Linked DNA regions of Pelodiscus sinensis. The protein of the gene in region 1 purifies or fractionates together with the protein of each later gene. This does not show direct contact. Links are inferred from orthologs where the notes say so. Each region holds a gene or a part of one and is shown in the gene's direction. Other genes may lie near its edges.

Region 1 (12,297 bases):
CCAGATGGCTCGCCACCTACTGTTAGCCTCGCTGACCTGCCTACCCCACTGGAAAGCCACCACAACTGCAGCTCCTGGTCCACTGGGCTGTTGCACACTGCTGCTTTAGGCCCCACCAGGCAGCTGCACACCACAGGTCCTGGTCCCATTGCTGAGCTCCCGGTCCCACCAGGCAGCCATGCACTGCATCTCCAAGCTATGCTGGGTAGACCCACTGCCACACACTGCTGGACCCACAGCCGCTCACTGCAGGCTGGCCCCATAGGGCTCGCTGCAGCTAGCCCTCCACTAAGACTCTCTGGTCCTGCAACATCTGTGACAGATCATGGATGTTGCTGACCAGAAAGTCCTGGTTTAGAGAGTTTTAACCTGTACTATCATTTCCCTCGACTTGCATTCTATTCCTCTGTTAATACAACCTAAAATTGAACAGAAGACTTTAGTATGTAACTTCACTCCTAACTGCAATTACTTCAATACTCCAGGTTTAACATTAATTAGGCAAATTGTTAGTTATCAAAGATCAGGTTTGACAAATTAAATTGCTAAGAATTCAATAAGTTGTAGATCACTGTTAGTTGAAGCATCAATTAATCATTCCCTGTAATTAAAACTACCAAATCCCAGTACATTTCATTTAAATTTTATTACACCATTTCTAATTTGGAGCTTTTAGGTGATTGTATTGATTGGAGGCACACTTATTCTACTTAGTTATAAAATAATTTATTAATCAGCAAATCTCCTTATGGGATATAGAGTTTAATTATTGTAGAAGTCTGTGCAGAGGAAAATCTCAATTAAAACTCAGTGAAATAAACTATCAAACAATATTTTGCTATTCCATTTGTGTTTGGAATCAATGATTACAAATAATATCCTTTGAGAATAAGATATTGGAAACAAATATTACAGCAGATAAAGTGTAGAAAAGGGGGCAGGTTCTTCAAATAAACATTAACTATAACCTTAAAATACAGATTATATGCAAAATATTTTTTAGTTTCTGTCTAGTGTCATTGATTTTGAAGTAAATAAATTGTTAATAAAGATTTTACTACTTACAGGCAAAGTTTGGATTGTACACACACTTTGCTATTATGCTTTGTAATGTATACAGGCAGTCTCCGACTTACGCGGATCCGACTCACAGCTAGTGCCCCCCTCAGCAGACCAGGCTTTTCTTGCCTACCCTTGGGGTAGAGCAGCTGGGGGCTGCCGGGTTGGTCCCGCAGCGCCGCTCTGGACCAGCCCAGCAGCACCCCAGCTGCTCTGCCCCAGGTGTCCTGATTCAGCCGCTGCTGGTCAGTTTCAGCAGCGGCTGAATCAGGATGCCTGGGGCAGAGCAGCTGAGGTGCTGCAGGGTTGCTCCAGTAGCGCCGAGGAGCTGTGCTACTGAAGCAACCCAGCAGCACCCCAGCTGCTCTGCCCCAGGCATCCCCAAGTCAGCCGCTGCTGAAACTGACCAGCGCTGACTACAGGAAGCCCAAGGCAGAGTTGCTCTGCCCCAGGCTTTCTGGAATCAGCCGCTGATCAGTTTCAGCAGCAGCTGACTTGGGGATGCCTGGGTTTCTTAAGTTGAATCTGTATGTAAGTCAGAACTGGCATCCAGATTCAGCCGCGGTTGAAACTGATCAGTTTCAGCAGCGGCTGACGCCAGTTCCGACTTACATACAGATTCAACTTAAGAACAAACCTACAGTCCCTATCTTGTACATAACCCGGGGACTGCCTGTACTGCAAAAGCAAGATTGTCTATCATAAGCTTTCTGGACCAGAACAGGTCAATTAAACTACTGACAGTGTGAAAAGTTGTTAACATGAGTGGACTTTCAGATGAATCTGTTCCTCTAAAGACTAAAACACATGGATAATTTTACTCATGTGAGTTTATTGCATGGGGGGAGGGGGAATGCCTATTGAATTACTCCCATGAACAAAATTACCCACATGAATACATTTTATCAGTATTGCTCCCCATATTAATATAATTTGTATTGCTCACTGGAAGTCTTCCTCAGTATACAATCTTAAAATAATTTGCTAATGACAACACTGGCAACTACTAGAATTTAAACTTCTAACTCCTAAAATGAGTAGCAATCCTTTAAGCTCATTTTTGAATGGGATGGATTAATTGCCTGATGAGTTGCAATTGGAGGGATGTCTTGAGCTGGAGTTGTGGATAGCTGTTCAGCTCAAAAAGCTGGTTAACATCTCAATGTTCAGACAAGTGTTAAGTGTTTGGGCTGCCAGATGGAACTCAAGTGGAACCAAACTTAATTTATGTAATTAATGCATCAGCTGAGTATAGTCTACCATATATTATGTTAGATTCAGTGACAAAGTAAAAAAGTGAGAATGCAGCTTTATTTTCACAATCATTTGAAGACAAATGGAGTTTCCATAGTTTTTTGAAATTTTTAAATCTGAAGTTGCACCTGCCCTTCCCAAATCTCATGAAATTTTCATGCAAGTTTAGAAATGATGCCTAAGTAATGTAAGGATGGGAAGTGCTGTCCAAAAGAACAAATCCCTTCAGGAGCTGGGATAACATATCCAAGTGGAATCTGTAATTTGGTATTGACTATAAGATATACTGGCCTGAGCAGCTGCTGCCTCTCTCTACTGTGATGCTACAGCTAGGAGGCACTGAAGCTAAAGCTGCCTTTCTTGCTGTAAAAGAGGGAGCTGATGATAAGACCTTCTCTATCCTCACCATTCAAATGTACACCCCACACTCAGTCTGAAACAAGTGGAATCTATTGGCCCTCCAGGCATGCTGCAAAGCTCAGCTTTTAACGAGATCTTTTGGGAAGGGAAGATTTGCTTGAAGGGTAATATTTAAAGGATGAGGAATGAGGATATGTAAGTTTATCTGTAGGGTGTGGTTTATTACGTTATTGTTCTATTTTGGGGGTAGCTACTGCCATGGTGATTTTTATTGTGACTTTAATTATGTGTCCAAAGTGCCAAGAGACTGAGACAGACACTTCTTGGAGTCTTATAAACTTAAAGCAATATAAACAACAACTGAGCAATTTTGACATTTAATGGCTTTGCGTGTCCTTATATACAGGCAGTCCCCGGGTTACGTACAAGATAGGGACTGTAGGTTTGTTCTTAAGTTGAATCTGTATGTAAGTCGGAACTGGCGTCCAGATTCAGCCGCTGCTGAAACTGATCAGTTTCAACAGTGGCTGAATCTGGACGCCAGTTCTGACTTACATACAGATTCAACTTAAGAACCCCAGGCATCCCCAAGTCAGCTGCTGCTGAAACTGATCAGCGGCTGATTCCAGGAAGCCCGGGGCAGGGGCTTCCTGTAGTCAGCCACTGGTCATTTTCAGCAGCTGCTGACTAGGGGACACCTGGGGCAGAGCAGCTGGGGTGCTGCTGGGTTGGTCCAGTGGCACCCAGAGCGGCGCTACGGGACCAACCGGCAGCGCCCCAGCTGCTGTACCACAGGCATCCGGAGCAAAGCCGCGGAGCACGGGGGCAGCGGGACAGCCCAGACGCACCGTGGCTATCCTGCTGCCCTCGGGCTTCGTGGCTTTGCTCTGCTTTGCTCCCCGTCCCCCTGGTCTGCAGACCAGGGGGACGGGGAGCAAAGCAGCGGAACACGCGGGCAGCGGGACAGCCCAGACGCGCCGTGGCTATCCTGCTGCCCTCGGGCTCCACGGCTTTGCTCTGCTCTGCTCCCCGTCCCCCAGGTCTGCAGACCAGGGGGAGGGGGAGCAGAGTAGAGCAGAGGGCGGAACCCACGGCCAGCTGACAGCCCAGACGCGTCTGGGCTGTCAGCTGGTCGCGTGCTCCGCTCTGCTTCCCCCCACCCCCATGGTTTGCAGACCAGGGGGAGGGGGAGCAGAGCGGAGCAGAGCAGAGCGGCAGAACGCGCGGCCAGCTGACAGCCCAGAAGCGTCTGGGCTGTCAGCTGGCTGCGCGTTCCGCCGCTCTGCTCTGCTCCGCTCTGCTCCCCCTCCCCCTGGTCTGCAGGGGGGGGGGAGCAGAGCGGAGCGCGCGGCCAGCTGACAGCCCAGACGCGTCTGGGCTGTCAGCTGGCCGCGCGTTCCGCCGCCGCTTTGCTTCCTCTCCCTGGTCTGCTCGAGACCAGGGAGAGGAAGTGCCCCGTTCGTAACTGCGGATCCGACATAAGTCGGATCCGCGTAACTCGGGGACTGCCTGTATACGGAAACCTCCAAATATACACAAAATTAGATTACAAACTCACATCTGAAAAGCTCCACAATGGTATGATATGCAAACTGAATAGTCTCCAGTTTGCCCTATATTTTAGGTCTAGCAGATGAAGTTTGTTTCATCTCAGTTGAGTTTAAAATAAACAAAAAGGCATGTGAATTTTAAAAGTTCTACTAAAGAAAATCAAGATCATCACAGTTTGCTAATAAAATGTTCTAATATAGGACTAAGACCATATCTCACTCATCTAGGTATACACCCAGAGAAACACCATTGAAGATAATGGGTGTAAATCAAATATGCATTGTGTAGGTAAAATTCACATAATACATGTTCTGCAGTAATAAAATTATTTCAGCCAAAATATATATAAATGGCCTTACTCTGTTCTATTCTATACCACTGTAAAACTGATGTAATGGAGTGGAGAATTGGGCCCCAAATGTGTGCAAATGACTAAAGGTAGAGGGATAATTTGTGGTCCCAAAATGAGAGAATATATACTTTTGGTGAGAACTACAGCTGCTGTGTTCCTCCACCCTGCTAATCATTGATGATGAGAATGAGTTTCAGGGGAACTGTTTGACTTCTGTAGGAGCCTGAGTTCCAGACAGAACGTGCTGATGGTAAGCAATGTATGAGAGACTGAAGCTGTAGAAACTGGAGACTGGTCACAGAAGTGTAGTGATAAAAATAACAAGCGTGTGGTGAAAAATGTGCTTTACATTTTTCAGACATGATATAAAATTTATGGCCCACAAATTTCCAGAGACAAAGTGCAAGATTATCACTGTTTTTCTCCCTTGAAACAGAAATAATGACTAGAAAAACAGGACAACAGTCAAATCAGCTTAAAGAAAGGAGGGAGGAGGGAAAGAGATTTAAAAAGGAAACCTGACAGCACACAGAGAAAGAAAAGAGCATATAACTTGTCTCTGAATTTTAACAATTTTTCTTCAGATAATGGTTAAAGATGTTTCATTAATAACCCAGATGGTGTCATGATAGAGGATGAGATGCGTAAAGTGATGACAAGCCTCACCAGGGCACAGACTGGTGCCTTTCTCATAAGGAACAATTGTGCTTGCTAAGCCATTCCCTGCCAGGAAAGAAAGGAGCTAGCATCGGATACAGGCAAGACCGTCACCACAGTGTCAATACCAAGTGCCAGCTAATTTTAAACCCTAAGCTGAGAATGGTAATAATATTAAACACGTGTGTTTGTAGGATTGTGGCTTTTGATACCAGGCCAACTAGTGTCATATAACTGTCTAAAGATCTAATAGAATTAAACAGTGCATTCCAAAAACACAGCCATGAAGAATCACCATGCCACGGTGGGCATGATGTTTTGGTGTGACAGGACAGTGTTTTCACATGGGGGCTACGTCTACACTGGCCCCTTTTCCGGAAGGGGCATGTAAATTTCACCAGTCGTCGTAGGGAAATCCGCGGGGGATTTAAATATCCCCCACGGCATTTAAATAAAAATGTCCGCCGCTTTTTTCCGGCTTTTAAAAAAGCCGGAAAAGAGCGTCTACACTGGCCCCGATCCTCCGGAAAAAGTGCCCTTTTCCGGAGGGTCTTATTCCTACTTTGAATAAGTGCCGCTTTTCCGGAAAAATTTGCCAGCTGTCTACACTGACCGCTTGAATTTCCGCAAAAGCACTGACTTCCTACTGTAAGAAATCAGTGCTTCTTGCGGAAATACTATTCTGCTCCCATTCAGGCAAAAGGGCCAGTGTAGACAGTTCAGATTTGTTTTCCGCAAAAAAGCCCCAATCGCGAAAATGGCGATCGGGGCTTTTTTGCGGAAAAGCGCGTCTAGATTGTCACAGATGCTTTTCCGCAAAAAGTGCTTTTGTGGAAAAGCATCCGTGCCAATCTAGATGCTCTGTTCCGAAAATGCTTTTAATGGAAAACTTTTCTGTCAAAAGCATTTCCGGAAAATCATGTCAATCTAGACGCAGCCATTCTGAACAAGGATTGTGCAGCTGGCCAGCACAGGTGGCTGGGCTTGGGGACCTCTAGAGGGCCCTTCCCTCCCTACATTTCTGTGATTCCATCCAGTTGAGGTGACTTGTCATTTTGGGTGCAGTATCCGCAACCCGCTAGCCGTCTGAAGGGCATGACGTCACTGGTGTGAGATGACCTCATGTATTACGTAGCATAAGGTCACCAGGCTGCGGTAGTGGTTTGAATGACGTCACCGCCGGGCTGCAGCGGCAGTGCCTGCTGGGGTCCGGGAGGTTACTGAAGCCAGCTGGCCCGCAAGTCTCAGCCAAACCTGGGGACAAACGCGAGCCTGGGTGACGTCACGGAGAGTGACCTTGGCAGAAGCAACCCGAGGGGGCGGGGCGTGCGCACGTACGGGCAGGGGGCGGGGCGTGCGCACGTACGGGCAGGGGGCGGGGCACGTCGCCCGCGCGGCGTCAGGGCTGTCGGGAAGTTGCGCCCGCCCTATGACCGACTGAGGTGACCCACCTCAGACGCACTCGCCGCCATGTTGTCCGTGGCTGCCCGTGCCGGCCCCCTGGCTCCGTACCTGTCGGCCGCGGCGCACGCCGTGCCGGGCCCGCTGAAGCCGCTGGTGCCGGAGGTGGTGCTGCGGCCCGGGAAGCTGCCGCTGGACGCGAAGCGGTTGGTGCTGAGCCGGGAATCGCTGAGCGGCCGAGCGCCCCGCGGAGGCCTCGTCGCCACCGCCAGCATCAACGGTGCGGCACGGGGGTGGGGCAGTCGGGGCTCGGGCTGGAGACGGGCCGCTAGCGGGGGTGGGTGGGCCGCTGTAGCCGGCCGGGGCCTGTGGGAGCAGCGGCGGGGGGTGTGTGGCTCGGTGCGGGGGAGGCCTGGCCTGCGGCTCCAGGGTTGCGTGAGCCGGGGCAGCGCTTCCCGTGCGCGGGTTTCGTCTGCAGCTCCGCTGTGAGTTACTGCCGCTGGCCTGCGCCCGGGCACCGTTTGTGCCCGTTCCCAGCGGCGGAAATGTCCGCAGTGCGCAGGGTCGGGGGCCGGTGGGCTGTCCAAAGCTCCCCCCCCCCCCGTGCGGGACGCCGAGGGGGACTGGGAAACCTGAGCAGCTCTGAGTCGTTTCCACGCTCAAGGATGTAATTGAATCGAATCCAGTGCCAACTGCTTGGTCTGAAGTAGGGCGTTAAAAGGTTAACAGGTACTGACGGGAGCAGCTCCAGTGCGGGCGGGGCCCCTGTCTTTGCCCCACCCCCACCACAGGTTACACGCTGTGGCCCGCTGGCAGGGGCTGCCGGGCAAAGACACTTCCCCTCCCAGCCGGACCAGCAGGGATTGGTGGGCCCCGACTTTCCTGCGGACTCTTTTATGAGGGATGTGAAGGACTAGTCGCTTATTGTATAGTCAACACACTAGTTGACTAGTCATGCCCCCTCCCCACTTACTGCCTCTATTAGAAAGAGGCGGGGAGGGGGGGTACAGAGGAGGGGATGTTTCAAAGTGGCAGTGCTGTGGGGTGCCGGGGGTCTGCCACTTTGAAATGCCCCATGCTCCCCACAGCGCTTTCATCTTTGAAATGTAGCTTCAAAGATAGAGGCGTGCTTATGGACTAATTGAATAGTCTATGCAAATTGCATTGACTATTCGATTAGCCAGTTAATCTAAATTTGACATCCCTGCAGCATGTGTAACAGTGCTGCAGTGTGTGTAACAGTGTAACCGCTGAAATTTCTTAGCAGTTACAGGGTTACCTTTTAAAATAGCTTTTTATATTTCTAATCAGAAGTAGTGATTTTAGATAACTTGTGCTTGACTCCTTGAAGGTACTACTCGCAGGCTTTCATTTCACAGCTCCGGAATGGGGATAGAATAGAAAACACTGCATGTAGCACATGAATACAGGCAGTCCCCGACTTATGAACGGGTTATGTTCCGATCACGTAGTTGTAACTTGATTTGGTCATAAGTCGGAAATACCCTTAAACACGCTGCCCGCACTGTTCGAAATACTTGACGTACATGGTTCTCAACTGGAAAATTTTAGAATGGGGTTAATAGGAGATTGGTTGTAAGTACAGATGGTCGTAAATTGGTGTGTTGGTAAGTCGGAGTGGCTGTAGTTTTAATTACAAAGTGAAAGACTTATTTTTGAGATCAAAAGAAGGAGCTTTGTTAAGTGAGAGAGATTAAAACTTTTTTTCTGCCATCAGCCTTTTTCTAGTTCATGCAGTGCTTTGTGTAAGGGTATTGACAGTTTTTCCTCTGAATAAAATGTTTGAGTAGTGTTGGACTTTACAGGACTTAATTTTCAAACCAAGCGTGGTCGGAGCAATAGAAAATTTTTGATGCAAAGCTTCAATATAATCCTTTTTCAATAATTCTGTCCATGTTCATTTTTTAAAGTGTGTATTACGTTTCTGTATAAAACAGTGGGCTTACATGTAATAATGTAGAACTATGCTGTGCCCTTGAACAAATATTATCCAGTTGACACGTTACATACCTCTTGGCCTTGTCCACATTGACTCAAGTCTTGTTTAACATCAGTGTGCTGACAAAACATAGTTTATATTCAACACTAAACAAGAGGATTAATGCTGAATTACTTTCCCATTGAAAAGAGCACATACAACATTTTAAAGCTAAAATTGTTGCAAAACTACCTCCTCGCTAATTAATTTCTCTGCAGTTAAAGATTAAGAAAATGGCTTCTCTTCGCAAAGTTCCTCGTAAATAGATGCACTTTATTTCCTCCATCAGTTGTAACTTGGTGCAGTCCCTGCATGATGATTTCCTTTGCACATAACACCTAATTCTTATCAATCCTTTCAGGAGACACTTTTGTTAACCTTCTGTGTTACTGATGGTGATTTCTGGGGGAAAAATTAAACATGTAGTACAAACTCTGGTCATCTGAAGAAATGGGCTGTGCCCACAAAAGCTCATGATACCATCTACATGTTTTGTTAGTCTCTAAAGTTCTACCAGACCATTAGTCTGTACAGAATAACCTAAAAAACAAACTCAGCTACCCTCTGAAACTTCTAAACATGCAGTGTAAGGCTGAATATCTTCTTACACAACAAAATCTGTTTTCAGTCTTTAAATTGATATTTACATTATTCTTTAGCTGCATAACATGGCCATTTTGGCATAGTAATTGTCTAACTGGGAATCAAACCAGTAAAGTTTGACACAAGAATGTAAATATCAGATTTAAGGGAAACCTGTTAAATTTATGCAGTAATCCCGCATATACATGCTTGTTTAGTTTTACACTCTTGTGAGAGGATCCATTGAAGTCAAAAGTTAACTAAACGTGTAAATGTTTGCAGTTTCATGGCCTAAATGCTTTTGAAATCCCTATTTCTTAATCCCATTGTTTCCAGGAACTTTCAAATGAAAGAAATCTGACTTTAAGAATTTGTCTTACTCTTCTCTTCCTGTGCCCATGCTAGTGTAGAATGTTAACATGTACAGTAGCTATGCTGTCAAGGGCTGATTGGCCACCAAACAGCTAAAGTGTTTTTAAAATTAGGGTAAGCCATCGCTCAAGTAGTCTTTCCATAAGAAAAGTATGGAAGGGAGGATTTAGCGAAGACCAGATTTCAAGCTTTTGAGTTGTAGAATTGTAAAGTGTTCTTTAACTAGGAATGTAAAATGCCATTTAATTAGTAAACATGATGTTTAAGTGGTTAACCAATTAAACGGAGCAGCCCCTGTTAGGAATGGTAAATATTGGTTAATCGACTACTCGATTAACCTTATGAATTCTTATCAGTTACTCGACTATTCTCTAGTACCCGGAGAGTGGGGCCAGCAGCCCAGTGCACTAAGGCTCCACTCCCGAGTAAACCTGCCACTCTGTGAGCTGGTCTGTGAGGAGAGCCAGTTTTAAAAACAGCTTATCTCACAGACTGGCTGCCTGTCACCCTATGTCACCCTCTGTAGGTTTATAGCAGCTCCTGTCTGAAGAGGGTCTGAGCTCCCAGACCCAGCACAAACTGGGACTGAGCCGGGCTGCTTGCCTGCTTAGCTCCTAACGCACTTTAATGCAGAGTCGCAGCAGGGGTAGGTCCCAGCCTGTCACAAGGAAGGACTGAGCCAGGGCGCTGGTCAGCCTACAAAAATATTTACTGGTGGCGGCGGGAGGATAGGGGGAGAAATGCATGTAATCTATAACATTAACCTAAAAGCTTTTGCTTATTGGTTAATTGAGACACAATTATATCTCTAGCCCCTCTCCTGTATTTTAAGCTGTGCCCGTGCTCTTTTAAATTAACAAATAGTTCAGGGGTGGCCAACCAATTGGACAATAAGAGCCAAAAAAGCTGTGGATAATAGTGCAGAGAACCACACATCCCTCCCCCAGAGCCAGCCACCCCCAGGCCTCTCCCATTCTAACCCAATGCCTGGACCTCACCAGAGATGCCACCACCACAGCCATGCACTTTTCCCTCCAGGAACTGGGGCGTGTGCATAAAGCGAGCATTTGGCTCTGAACGACCTGTAGCCCCGAGAGTTGCATTTCTGTGAGCAAAGAGCTGCATGTGGCTCAAGAGCCACAGGTTAGCCACCCCTGGAATAGTTCATTTGTGAATATAATACAATCTGGAGTGTCTTTTTAGACACAGGGCTTATAATGTCAGATTTCGGTGGGAGTGGCAAAGATCATTGATAAAAACGTGTTAGGTTTCACAAATAATCTTGTAGTATCGCAACTGGATGTTAACTTTTACTTTTAACAATATGCAGTAATAAGGATTACTTTTTACAGAAAGTATTTTGGACCTCTTTCAAATTTCACCTTCAATCTCTGGAAACAAAGCTTCATAATCAGTATAGTACTAAGTCTTTAAGAAGATGCTTGCAGTTAATACTATTTACTTTTTGTTGCAGCTCCAGCTAGTGTTCGTTACCTTCACAATGATGTGTCAGTACCTGACTTCTCTGACTACCGTCGCCAAGAAGTGTTAGATAAAACAAAATCTTCTCAAGATAGCAGCGATGCTAGAAAAGGGTTTTCCTATCTTCTGACTGCATCAACATGCATAGCCACTGCATATGCTGCTAAGAATATTGTCACCCAGTTTGTTTCCAGCATGAGTGCTTCTGCTGATGTGTTAGCTTTGTCAAAAATTGAGATAAAGTTGTCTGATATTCCAGAAGGCAAGAGTGTGGCTTTCAAATGGAGAGGGAAACCCCTTTTTGTGCGTCACAGAACCCAGCAGGAGATTAATCAGGAAGCTGAAGTACCACTGACTGAACTAAGAGATCCACAGCATGATTTAGACAGAGTAAAAAAACCAGAATGGATTATACTGATAGGTGTCTGCACTCATCTTGGATGTGTACCCATTGCAAATGCTGGAGAATTCGGTGGTTATTACTGCCCTTGTCATGGGTCACACTATGATGCATCTGGCAGAATCCGAAAAGGTCCTGCTCCAGCCAACCTTGAGGTTCCAGATTATGAATTTACTTCTGATAACGTTGTTATTGTTGGTTAAATAACTGGACGATGATCTGTTTCATCTTTTTCTGTATGAACATTGTAAAAAAAGGTTAAGATTCTGGTGTGGTATAACATTAAATTATCCAAAAAATGTACCTAACTGTTTAAAGTCACCGTTATCAAGAAGTATGCTTAAATGTTTCCGAATAAAGAATCAGACTTGAGTGATCTGTCATTTATTTGGTGTTTAAATTCCAGGAAATCTGCTGGTAGTACCTAATAAAGTTCTGGATGTCCTTAGGGATGTAAGCGATTATATGCATACAGCAAGGGAGGAGCGGAAACCAGCATAAAAGCCTTTCTCCTCCTCCTCCTCCCCCCCCCCCCCCCCGCCCCCCCAGCACTTTCTCCGAGGGAGCAGGGGAGGAAAAGGGGTAGCCGGAAGCTAGGGCCTTATCTAGGAATCATCTCAAACGCTGCACCTCTGTTTTTTAAATGTATTAAGAGCCTACCGGCTCTTAATATATTTAATAAAAAGCAGAACCGCAGCGCGGTTAGCTCCTAGCCCATCGATTAGTTGATTAAACTTACGTAACATCCGTAGAGGCCTTATAGTGTAAATAGGGATGAGGAATCATTGGAACAGAAAACATAAGCCAGAATTTTCCCTACTTAACCCT
Region 2 (12,533 bases), on another chromosome or scaffold:
ACATGGCAAAGTTTCCTACAGCATGTATTTGGGACTATTTCAGAGTGATGGTTGAACTCATCTTCTGGATTGTATCATGGCATTGCTGCATATCCCTTTTGTGCCCCTTCTCCTGCATGTCATTAGCAATCAGGCGATAGGTATCAACATTCCTACAACTGATATGAAACTATGACTGCACAGCCTCCTCTCCCCATTGACTCTGCAGCTCAAACTACACAAGAATGCATCTGCTGCAGAAAGTAAGCATGGTCAGCTGGGAAGATGCTGTGTGAAGCTGCATGCCAAGCAAACAAGAGGAATTTCCAAACGTCCCAGGCCTTTAAATGGGAGAGAGTGTGTGTATATATGCATGCGTGCGTGCATGTAGGGGGGAAGAGACAGAAAGAGGGAGGCATACCTGTGTATCCTCTATATATCAGAGGTCAAACTGCTGACCAGGTTAGTCATGATGGGCATTGTAGAACACCACCTGGCGGGAGACCAATTAGGGAAATATAACCAAGTGAGGAGTCTACACTGATGATGCATCACTCTATCTAGGTTGCAAAAATCTGTGTCACTTGTCAAGGTGTTGGTTTTTTATGTTGGTATAGCAAAGGAGTAACATAGGCAGGAGGAGCAATTCAGGGTATATATACCTCCACTGTTTTGTCAATGAAAGCGGACTTTTGTCAACAAAACTTTAGTATAGACAAGGCCTTAGACAACAAAGTGGCAGTTGCATCTGGTTTACATTAGCATCTCCATCACCACTAGCACTGACAGAAGATTTTAAGAAAAATCTTAGCATATTTGATCCATCTTCCAAACACAAAACTAGTCAAATTCACCACACTTCACTCAGTTGAGCATAATCCATTCAGTGTTTCCAGGTGGAACTACTTTTGAGAGATAAAAATATTCCAAAAACTGTAAAAACAAAAATACACTGTCCACCTTATTTTTAAACTTCATAGTTTGCAAAGCCCTGGTCTGATTCCCCGCCTCCCCACCACCACCACTTTCCATAAACATTCTTTTATATAGGATAACCATATGCTCTTATAAGTTAAATATGTGATTTATCCATAACTATGGAGAGAATAATGGGCAGAATTCTGTTCCTAGACCAGCATAAATCTTGAGTTACTTCTGTTATTTGAGGTAGGTGTAAAAGAGCAGAACTTGTCATACTTCTTCCACAATGGCTCTCTAGCAAAAAATATATCCTGGAGCACTAAAGAAATGTCTGACCAAACAAATCAAAGAACAGTGGGCTGAAAATCTGTCCTTTACCTCACCCCACTGTATGTAGGTATTTTGGTACATATATGTCCTAAGGGTACTGCTTTGCTTATGTGTAAAGGGGTAAGATAAGGACAGAATTTCCACCTCAGCTTTTAATTTCCTTGTTTTTCTATGTTTGTCAGACAGTGAATGTTATTTTAATAAAAATGTTGTTAAAACTTCTTTATTTAAAAGGATCAAAATATTTTTAAGGAAAGAACATCAACATCGACATAATTCACAAGACACAAAATAATAAATCTATATATTCCATAAGTATTTATTTAAGGCCCTAGTCCTTTATACATGTATTTAACAGTATGCTTTGTAAGCAGTTCCTGATTTCACTGGAGTTGTTAATCTCTATTATTTACTAGTTATTAATAGCTCAAAGAGATAATCAAAGTGATGGAAGCATCATAATGATAAAAAACACATAATTTAACAATATCATTCTAAATATGCTACAGCCTTTTTTTTCAAATGTAATAAATAGACCCGATTGAATAATTCTTATCAAACCATTTATTTATTTTTTCAATATAGTGCTGCAAATAGCTTAAAATAGTCAAAAATCTGTTATTCACACGGGTTTTATTAATAGTTGAATAATTCACTAATACATACCTTGAATCTGCAATCATATTTAATGAAAAGATTTTTACACCTTTTAGTACATCATACTTCAGGATCAGTGCCCTGTTCACTGAATAATTTATCCAACATTGTGAGGGGGTGTGGTCACAGGACTCCCCTTAAGATTGTTTCCAAGTGTACTGATCATGTCTTCTTTCTTGCTTTCTGGGGCTCCTCCTCACCCTATCCTGCTGGCTAGATCTTCTGGACTCCCCCAGAAAAAGCACAGAGTTGGGATAATCACTTCCCTGAAGAGCAACACAGATACCGAACCACTTCAGCTCTGGGTAGATGCAGTTCTATAGCCCAACACCCATGCAATCAACCCCCAAATGGGACCAACCCTCTTCCCCAAATACATAAATCTTTCTCTGTGTAAAAGTTGTACACAGTGAAAGCTCATCAGTTAAACCCTCTCTGTCAGTGAAATAGAGATATGCACAATGATTGTCCCCCCATACCAATTATTTACACTGGTCCTGATAGTAAAAATTATTTTTACTAAGTACAAACAGTAGGATTTAAGTAGCTGCAAGCGAAAATAGATAAATCAAAGTAAGTTACTAAATTCAAATGAAAAGAAAATGCATAGCCAGTTCTAATTCACTAAGAAACTAATTGCAAGAAAAAATAACAAGGGGTACTGTAAGAAGATTCTTGCCCAAAAGAGCTGTTCTTATTTCAAATACAATTTTCAAGTCAGAGACAAGTGTCTTTTATTCTGACTTGGGTCTCCAGCTTTCTTTGTCTCCTTTTGGAGTGTGTCTTGCCTTTTCTTAGGCCAGCTGAAGACAAAGACATGATAGCTTCCTATTGCTTAAATAGACTCTCCCTAGGGTGGGAATCTTCTGTTTTAAATCCCCCCTTTGGCAGAAATTTACCAGATTCAAAATGGATACCAGCATCAGGTGGTATGGTCATGTCACCAGCCACCTTCTGTACTTACAGGACAAACAAGGCTGTTTACAAGTCATTAAGCTGATCACCAGTCATTAAGCTCATTGGCACATTTAAACTGTAAACAGACTCACACTAGATACTTGTAGCTTTACATATAAGGATGAAACAGTACATTCATCAAAATAGTATACATAGGTCAAGCAAACTGTAACATTTAAATTAATAGATTACATGAGGTATTTTATCTAAAGCATCTTTGAGTTATGCATATTTATATTCCTAAGGCAATTTTGAGAAATCGGGGGGAAGAACGGTCACAAACATATTTCAGGAAGTATTCAAAAATATTTCATGATTATTAAACATTATTCATCCAGTGTCAGCAATAAATTGTTACAATAACATATCTTCTCCTATATAACACATTTTATCTCAAAGTAAATTTCCCTCAAAGGAAATAATCTCCTGAAAAGAGAATATGACAAGAAAATGCTGGCAGACTGTTACATACAGGCAGTCCCCGACTTACGCGGATCCGACTTATGTCGGATCCGCACTTACGAACGGGGCTTTTCTCGCCCCGGAGCTCGCAGGCAGCGGTCCTGCCACCTCGACCTCCGGGGCGAGAAAAGCTGCTCCTGATGCCCCTGGTCTGTTGGGGACCGTCTCCAGCAGACCAGGGGCACCGGGAGCAAAGCCGCAGCCGCAGCCGCAGCCAGAGCAAAGCCTCAGAGGCGCGGCACCCCGCTGCCGCTGCGGCTTTGCTCCCCGTGTCCCTGGTCTGCTGGGACAGGGGTGTCAGCCGACGGTCAGGGCAGTGTGTGTGTGTATGCTTCCGAGAAAAGGTTTAACGTCCGTGTCTTTACTGCTAGGACCGGGGTCCCGTCGCAGAGGGTGGCCAGCAGGCCAACAGATGCCCTGTTATATAGAAAGAGCTTATTACACCTTAGATTTTAACTGCTAGAACACAAAGTTCCTTCGCAGCGGGCAGCCTGGGAAAGGCTGGAAAGGTGCCCCAACGGATCTTGTCACCTGGGAGTGACACAGATCCAAACGCCCAAGCTCTCCCTATGTCTGTCCCTTTATGACCGGCTGAAGTTCTTTTAAATTGTGCTTGGTTCTGTTACAGCAACTGAAGGAGTCAGGTTAAAGCTTAAACAGTTACAGGTTTATTAAAAGACTTATAAAAGCATATGGTTACAATGGCTATTGCTCTATTTCTTAAATGCTAACAAATACAGATTTTAAAAAATGGTTACAAAGAAAATAAAGATAGAAAATAGAAATAATGGTACCAAGTGACAGCTTAATCTTTAAAGAGCTCTAAGTCTATGTATATATATACTTAAGCAAAGGACCACATCCAGGTACAATTTTTACCCCTTTCTGTGCCTCTCGACTCCAGCGTGTCAGGTCAGGGCCGGTCTCTCAATTCCTAGGAAAGATGAATACGAGGTGGGCGTCCCCTTGGAACCTCGGGAGATCAAACACCAAACCCGACCAGCAGATAGATGGTAGATTGACACTCAGAGAAAATGCGCTGCTGGACCTATCTTTATACCCCTGGGGGCCTGTATTCTCTTTCTTATCTAAGATGCCGAATTGTACTGGTCCGTTTTGTGGTGCCAGTTCTTACAAGCAAGTTTCAAGTTAATTTACACTTGCAAGAGAGATAACTAAATTGTGAGCACTAGACATTTTTTTACTGGGCGAGAGATTCCTCCCCCCCACGGATGGATGTGTGTTCGTATCAATATGGGTTTCAGTCAAGGGCACTCCTTGGCAGCCTCTTGGTCAGCAATTGGCGTATCTCTGTTTACAGCCATTCACGGTCACACAGCCTGGGCCTTCTGCTCTGTGTGCCCTGTATGCTCCAGGCAAGCAAAAATGGATGTTACAAGGGGGTTCCTGTCTGGCTACAAGGGGGCGCAGCTAGTGTGCCCCCCGCCCTCCCCCCCCAGCAGACCAGGCTTTTGTTGTGGACCCTGGGGCAGAGCAGCTGGGGCGCTGCCGGTTGGTCCCGCAGCGCCACTCTGGGCACTACTGGACCAACCCGGCAGCACCCCAGCTGCTCTGCCCCAGGCGTCCTGATTCAGCCGCTGCTGGTCAGTTTCAGCAGCGGCTGAATCAGGACGCATGGGGCAGAGCAGCACCCGAGCTGCTCTGCCCCTGGCGTCCCCAAGTCAGCCGCTGCTGAAACTGACCAGTGCTGACTACAGGCAGCCCGAGGCAGAGTTGCTCTGCCCCGGGCTTCCTGGAATCAGCCGCTGATCAGTTTCAGCAGCAGCTGACTTGGGGACGCTTGGGGTTCTTAAGTTGAATCTGTATGTAAGTCAGAACTGGCGGTCAGTTTCAGCAGCGGCTGAATCTGGACGCCAGTTCTGACTTACATACAGATTCAACTTAAGAACAAACCTACAGTCCCTATCTTGTACGTAACCCGGGGACTGCCTGTATATATGTGGTGTAATTATAATTAAACAAAGGCATATAGTTATCTAAAATTTGAAAGTAAAACTTAAAGCAGCAAAGATGATTAAGGAATTACATTCCCTATTTCATCCTCAATTAATCCTACCAAAAGATTCAGCTTCTGACTAATTTTTTAACTAAGCTATAAACCACTAAAAAAATTAGGTGTAAAATGAAAATGACAACTGATTCTTAACTAACAAATTACAACACTTACTGGCTTACACACCATGAAGTCTGACATATAAAGAGAACTATTTCTGTTAAAGAAATAAATTATCTAAATTAAAAAATTCCACCCAGGAATGAAAATCAGTGTGACAGAGACACCTTGAGGTTCATGTGTATGTGTTCCTATAATCAGACAGTCAATGACTGGATTCAAGTGTTTTGATGCAAGAAGGCAAAAATTAATGTTTCCTTTCTCAGAACAAAGTGGTTATAGGGACCCTTGAATGGCTTAATAACAGATGATGAAATGACAGAGCTTTCTACCATTCAGTAACTGGTCTGCATTTAGTGCATTTGCCAAAGCCCCATAACTGCTACCATTTATGAGTTTGCTGAGCCATATAAAATGAGCTGTCAGTCTCTCTTCTCTTCCTAATGTAGAGATGTCCACAAAATAAAAAATAGCCCAATGACTGCTCCCTGAGGCCAGCAGGGCCATGCAGCCCACTTCTGCTCCCTGGGACATAGCAGCCCAGAGCCCAGCTGTTGGATGCTCCCTGGTTGCTCCCGGCTGCGTCTAGACTGGCAAGTTTTTCCGCAAAAGCAACTGCTTTTGCGGAAAAACTTGCCAGCTGTCTACACTGGCCGCTTTAATGTCCGCAAGAACACTGACGATCTCATGTAAGAAATCAGTGCTTCTTGCGGAAATACTATGCTGCTCCCGTTCAGGCAAAAGTCCTTTTGTGCAAAAGCTTTTGCACAAAAGGGCCAGTGTAGACAGCTCAGATTTGTTTTGCGCAAAAAAGCCCCGATCGCGAAAATGGCGATCAGGGCTTTTTTGCGCAAAAGTGCATCTAGATTGGCATGGATGCTTTTCCACAAAAGCACTTTTTGCAGAAAAGCGTATGTGCCAATCTAGATGCTCTTTTCCGCAAATGCTTTTAACGGAAAACTTTTCCGTTAAAAGCATTTGCGGAAAATCATGCCAGTCTAGACATAGCCCTCCTGTGTTCCCCTCCCTATTTGGGAGTATAACTGTCCCACATGCTTGCTCTCCCTCCCTCAGGTACTTTTGTTAACAGAAAATTTACAATCCAATAAATTGTAAGAGTAGTTTCTTTCCCACCAATGCTGATTACTCTACATTTACCAACATCATGTTGTCTGTTTACCTAGCTTGGTTAAGTACTTCTGAAACTAGTGTCTTTCTGGCTTTAACTAACCTAAATAATTTTGTCTCATCAGCAAATATTTCCATCTCATTGTTCACCTATTTTTTCTGATTCTTATTGAATTAAATGCAATGCAAGAAGTGCTAGAGTTGATAGAACCAAAAATCACTTCCATGGGTCTATGTTGCAAATGCTGGTAAACAGAAAAATAAATCTTTGATATCTGTGAAGTTACAATAATTCCGATGTGAGTGTATATAATTTCTCTTAAGTCAACCTAGGCAATATGTATATTTTCCGAGGTTGAATTTAACAATTCCTGTAATTTTCAGTGAAAAGCAAAAATATGCCAGCTACTTCCACTCTGAGTTTCTTCCTTAGTACAAATCTAACTGTTGTCTTGTGCTGAAAATACATTACATAAATTTGTTGTTTGTTTTTATACACAGAATATTATGGATGCACTTTCCAAATCAATTATGGAAAATAAGTCATCATTTTCTAGATGACCGCTATTTCTTAGGAAATGGAAACTGCTAGCAGAGTTAAACATTAGTTAAGAACTGAAAGTAAAACAGCTATGCAACATAAATCTGTTAGATGGAAACTGATGACTTCCCAGTTTTGAAAACTGTTACGTTTTTCTTCACTAAAAATAGAAAAATATATCACAGTTATGTTATTTAGTCTGGTGGCTCTGATTCTAAGGACTTGTAAGAAAATCATTCAAAATCTTTTTTTAAAATGTCCTTGTTATGAGATCTAGGCGCCTCAGCTACTGTAACAGCGTACAAACCTCAGATGCTGGGGCAACTCACTAATTGTTACTGCTATGAGGCCTGACACAACTCCCATTGGCAGCCAGCGTGAGGCCAGTGGGCTTGGACGCTCGGTGTATTGAAGGCGCAGCTGACTAGCACAAGGCTCCTGCAGTTCAGGCGCACAGAGCCGCACTGCAGAGTGCGGGGCGCTCGGTAAAGCCCAAGCGCCTGCAGACATGTCGTTACGGGAGAGGTGTCGCCCACACCCAGCAGCCACCACGTTTAAAGCTGACGGCAGCTGGGGGCACCGATGCGGGCACAGCACCGACACTGCCTGGTGCCTGCTGGCGGAGCGGGTGTTGCGCAGGACGCGCACACAGCACCCGCGGCAAGGAACACGGGACACTTATTAGCCAATCCGATCGCTCGTTATTAAGCTGACCCCGCCCCCCCCATTCACGGTTCAGGGCATCGACCTGCCCGGATCCAGCGTTCAGGGGACGCGGCTCTATCGGGCACGAATTCCCGATGCACGAGGAAGTAGCCTCGCCGCCCGCAGTAGCGCGCGGGGAAAGGTTCGGTAGCGGCTTGTCCCGTAACGTTCCCCCAACCCTGCCGCTCCTTAACCAAAGCGCAGGAGGAGGGGGCGGCGCTGGACTGTGACCTTCCGATTGGCCTTTCATGAGCGAGGCGGTGGGCGTGGTTTCGCGGCTGCTGTGTGTGGAGGGGGAACTGCTGTGGAGATGGGGAGTCGGACGGAGGTGAGTGTGGGCGGAGGTGCGCATGCGCGGGTTCTATTGTGACCCGCAGGATTCTTCCTGAATCTTTTGAGCAACCCCATACGCGCACCGAAATGCCTGGCGAGCCCCCAGCCCGCTCAGATTTCCTATGGGGGGGGGCAGAAACCAAGACAAAAATCTCAGTCTTATCCAGGGCTGCTCCTCTTTGGAAGCTGGGGGGGGGGGTCACAATGATGCACATGCGCAGAGCTGCAACTTAAAATGTGGTTGCAAAGCCCCCCCCTCCCCCCCGCACTGCTACCAATGATAGAGAGGCAGCAGCACAGAGGGTGCGGGGAGCCAGCTTTTAAGTTGGCTCTCTGTGCATGTTGGAGCCACAGACCTGCCTGCCCTCCCCGCCTTGCTGCCTCCTACAGAGGCAGTAGCATGAGGGGGTGGCGGAGGCTGCTGCTGCAAAGCAGCCTCTGTCCACAGCGGTTCGTGTTTGGACACCCACCTCCCCTTGGACAGGAGCTGCTGCCACCCCCTGCTGGTTCCTCTGTATCAGAGGCAGCAGCATGGTGTGGCTGGGGGCTCCCCAAAAGTGAGATCAGGAAAACGCTGGCTGCCAGCTCCATCTCTGGATAGAATAGTTGTGTATCTGCTAAAATTTGATGCCTGGCTATTTAATTGCACACTATCTAACATCCCTGTTTTTAACTTTGAAGCAAATGTTACAGTTCTTTCAAAAGCTTACAACTGACCATTGACTTAAAACAGCTTTGAAACTTTACTAAGGAGGAAAGTGCTGCTTTTAAGAACATAAGAACAGCCATACTGGGTCAGACCAAAGGTCCATCCAGAAGGGCCATACTGGGTCAGACCAAAGATCCATCAAGCCCAGTATCCTGTCTGCCAACAGTTGCCAATACCAGATGCCCCAGAGAGAGGGATTGCAATAGGTAATCCTCATGTGATCCCTCACCTGTCATTCACCTCCAGAGAAACAGAGGCTAGGGATACCATTCCTACCCATCCTGGCTCATAGCCATTGATGGACCTAACCTTCATGAATTTATCTAGATCTTTTTTGAACCCTGTTAAAGTTCTAGCCTTCACCGCATCCTCTAGTAAAGAATTCCACAGCTTGATTGTGCGCTGAGTGAAGAAAAACTTCCTTTTATTTGTTTTAAACCTGCTGCCTATTAATTTCATTTGGTGACTCTTAGTTCTTTTATTGTGGGAATAAGTAAATAACTTTTCCTTATTCACTTTTTCCATTCCAGTCATGATTTTAGAGCCCTCTATCATATCCCCCCTTGATCTCCTCTTTTCTAAGCTGAAAAGTCCAAGTCTTTTTAATCTCTCTTCAAATGGCACCAGCTCCAAACTCCTGATAAGTTCAGAAAAGGGTGGCAACAAATTTTTCCAATACCAAAATGAAATAGTTTCCTTACTTCGTTAAATATTTTTAAATTTTCATTTTTAATAGTTTACATGCACAATATTTTACTGTATTTGCTTGTCATGTTTTGATCTCTACTGCTGCCTGATGGTGTACTCCTGGTTCCAAATGAAGTGTATGATTGGCCATTTAATTTGTAACTCCGGTGTTCATAATTCTGAGATCTTGTTATATTTTAGATATCAGGAATTATCTTGTCTTCTGTGTTCTATACCTCTGTTTTATCTGCAGAAAGTCTGATCAAGAATTGAGCTTACATTTCTGACCGAATGATTCGGCTGCTATGGAGGAAACAGTAGAATGCAAATAAAAATACCTTTTTAACTGCAAAAATAATAATTTTACTTAATTATTACTATTAACAAACAAAACACATTGATTGCTGACTTGTATCTTATGAACAGGTTTTAAAGCTTTTCAGAACATTGCATAGAACACGGCAACAGGTTTTTAAAAATGACGCAAGAGCCTTAGAAGGTAAGAATTTTTGTCTTCCTAGTGGGACTGTTGCATCTCTACAAAATCTCTAAGGACCCTCCTTCCTTGGGCATGCCATTGTATGAAGGTCTTTTACACGAACTATCATCATTCTCTCTGAGGGCATGTCTAAACTACATCACTCTCTCTTTTAAAAGAGGGATGTAAATTAGGCAGATCAAAAATGCAAATGAAGTGAGGATTTAAATATCCTCTGCTTCATTTGCATAATTGTCACAGTGTTCCTTTGAAAAAGGGGTATTTCGAAAGTGAAACCACTGTGTAGATGCGGTTCTTTTAGGGAAAAAAAAACCTTTTTCGATTATTTTATGTGAGTATGAAAATGAAGCACGGGCTATTTAAATCCCCGCTTCATTTGCTTCATTTGCACTTTCAATCTGCCTAATTTACATCTCTCTTTCGAAAGAGGGATATAGTTTAGACATAAGAACATAAGAACGGCCGTACTGGGTCAGACCAAAGGTCCATCTAGCCCAGTATCCTGTCTACCGACAGTGGCCAGCACCAGGTGCCCCAGAGAGGGTGGACCGAATACAATGATCAAGCGATTTGTCTTCTGCCATCCCTCTCCAGCCTCTGAGAGACAGAGGCCAAGGACACCATTTTATCCCCTGGCTAATAGCCTTTTATGGACCTAACCTCCATGAAATTATCCAGCTTCTCTTTAAACTCTATTATAGTCCTAGCCTTCACAGCCTCCTCTGGCAAGGAGTTCCACAGGTTGACTACACGCTGTGTGAAGAAGAACTTTCTTTTATTAGTTTTAAACCTGCTACCCATTAATTTCATTTGGTGTCCTCTAGTTCTTCTATTATGGAAACTAATAAATAACTTTTCTTTATCAGCCCTCCCCATACCACTCATGATTTTATAGACCTCTATCATATCCCCCCTCAGTCTCCTCTTTTCTAAACTGAAAAGTCCCAGTCGCTTTAACCTCTCCTCATATGGGACCCGTTCCAAACCCCTAATCATTTTAGTTGCCCTTTTCTGAACCCTTTCCAAGGCCAAAATATCTTTTTTGAGGTGAGGAGACCACATCTGTACACAGTATTCAAGATGTGGGCGTACCATAGTTTTATACAGGGGCAGTAAGATATTCTGGGTCTTATTTTCTATCCCTTTCCTAATAATTCCTAGCATCCTACATGCCCTGAAGGGAATTGAATTAGATTGACTCCTTTTTGGAACCTGCTGTTGTTTAATCAGCATAAGGGGTTCAGCCACACAGGGTAGAACACTCACAAAAGAAGAAAGATTGGAGTTTGCAGGTAGTCTCTGCAGATCCAGAGAGCAAACAGATGGAACAGGTTGTCAACCTGAGTCACAAGTGTGATAAACAAATTACTACTACTGTTTTGTTCAGTTTACGTAAAGCAAAACAACAGAAAACAAAAACAAAAAAGCCCTGATCCATTGAAATGCTTCAGTTTGTCTGTTTTTCTGAGTTACCAGAGAAGAGGATGCAACATTATCACATGAATAGAGCTGTTCAGAGAAAGGCAATTGTCTTTCACTGTGGATTTTAATATTTTTGAAATTTGGCTTTGTTCCAGTCGGGAATAAAACCCTAAATATGTCCAAATTCTTCACAAGAGGGAGTGGATACTCTGTCCAAGGCAGGCTGTCGCAGAGCAGCAGTCTGGAAGTCCTGAGGTCTCCAACTCCGTGGCATCCTACTAGGCAGGCAGCCCTACAGCCTGAAGCCTTAAAGTCCCCAGTTCCCAGGCACTCCTCTCAAAGTCTTTTTTGCACACTCTCAGATCCAGTACATAAAAGGAATGGTCCTGGTCTTGACCGTATATGGTTACAGGTATTTGATCAAGTTTCTAATATAGCATATTTTGTCTGCAGAGAGAATTGATCTTCAAAGGTGTTGTTGAAGTGTCTTGGGGAAAAATTAAAGTTCATTTTTCTGATTCTATTTTTCAGAGGGATTTGAAGGAAAATGAAGTGACTTTAGAAAGACTTAAGCACTGACTTAGGATATGTCTAGAGTATACGCTTCTTTCAAAAGAAGCTTTTTTTGAAACAGCTTTTTTCAAAAGAGATCGTCTAGACAGCCATACCTTTTTTGGAAAAGTGGATTGTTTTTTCAAAAAAGAGCACCCAGGCAATCTGGTAGCTCTCTTTCAAAAAAGCCCTGTTTGCGGTCAAGAACGCCTTCTTCTTCGAAAGAGCTCTTTCAAAAAAAGGCGTTCTTCCTTGTAAAATGAGATTTACCGCTGTCGAAAAAACCGCTGTGTTCTTTCACTTTAATTTTGAAAGAATGTGGCGGCAGTCTAGATGCAGGTGAAGTTTTTTGTTTTGGTTTTTTTTTTTCAAAAAAGGCCACTTTTTTTCGAAAAAAACCCTGTCGTCTAGACATAGCCTTAGTCTTCTCTCTCTTTCCACCTTTCTCTATTAAAAACAATGGTTGGGATGGAAGGAGCAAGGGAGCAGAAGGGAATGACCAAGAGGAGGAGCCAGT

The links.
Region 2: the proteins of UQCRFS1 (region 1) and LYRM7 purify together in Homo sapiens (co-immunoprecipitation; 5 studies listed by BioGRID and IntAct, with this or other methods). This does not show direct contact. The link is inferred for Pelodiscus sinensis from reciprocal best matches to the Homo sapiens genes UQCRFS1 and LYRM7.

The regions. Positions count from the first base shown.
Region 1 is NC_134722.1:26,389,411-26,401,707, forward strand, and holds UQCRFS1 (cytochrome b-c1 complex subunit Rieske, mitochondrial), read left to right. Parts: upstream 1-6,627; 5' UTR 6,628-6,703; coding exon 6,704-6,914; intron 6,915-11,061; coding exon 11,062-11,672; 3' UTR 11,673-11,841; downstream 11,842-12,297.
Region 2 is NC_134716.1:49,391,796-49,404,328, reverse strand, and holds the start of LYRM7 (complex III assembly factor LYRM7), read left to right. Parts: upstream 1-7,819; 5' UTR 7,820-8,124; coding exon 8,125-8,142; intron 8,143-9,969; coding exon 9,970-10,042; intron 10,043-12,533.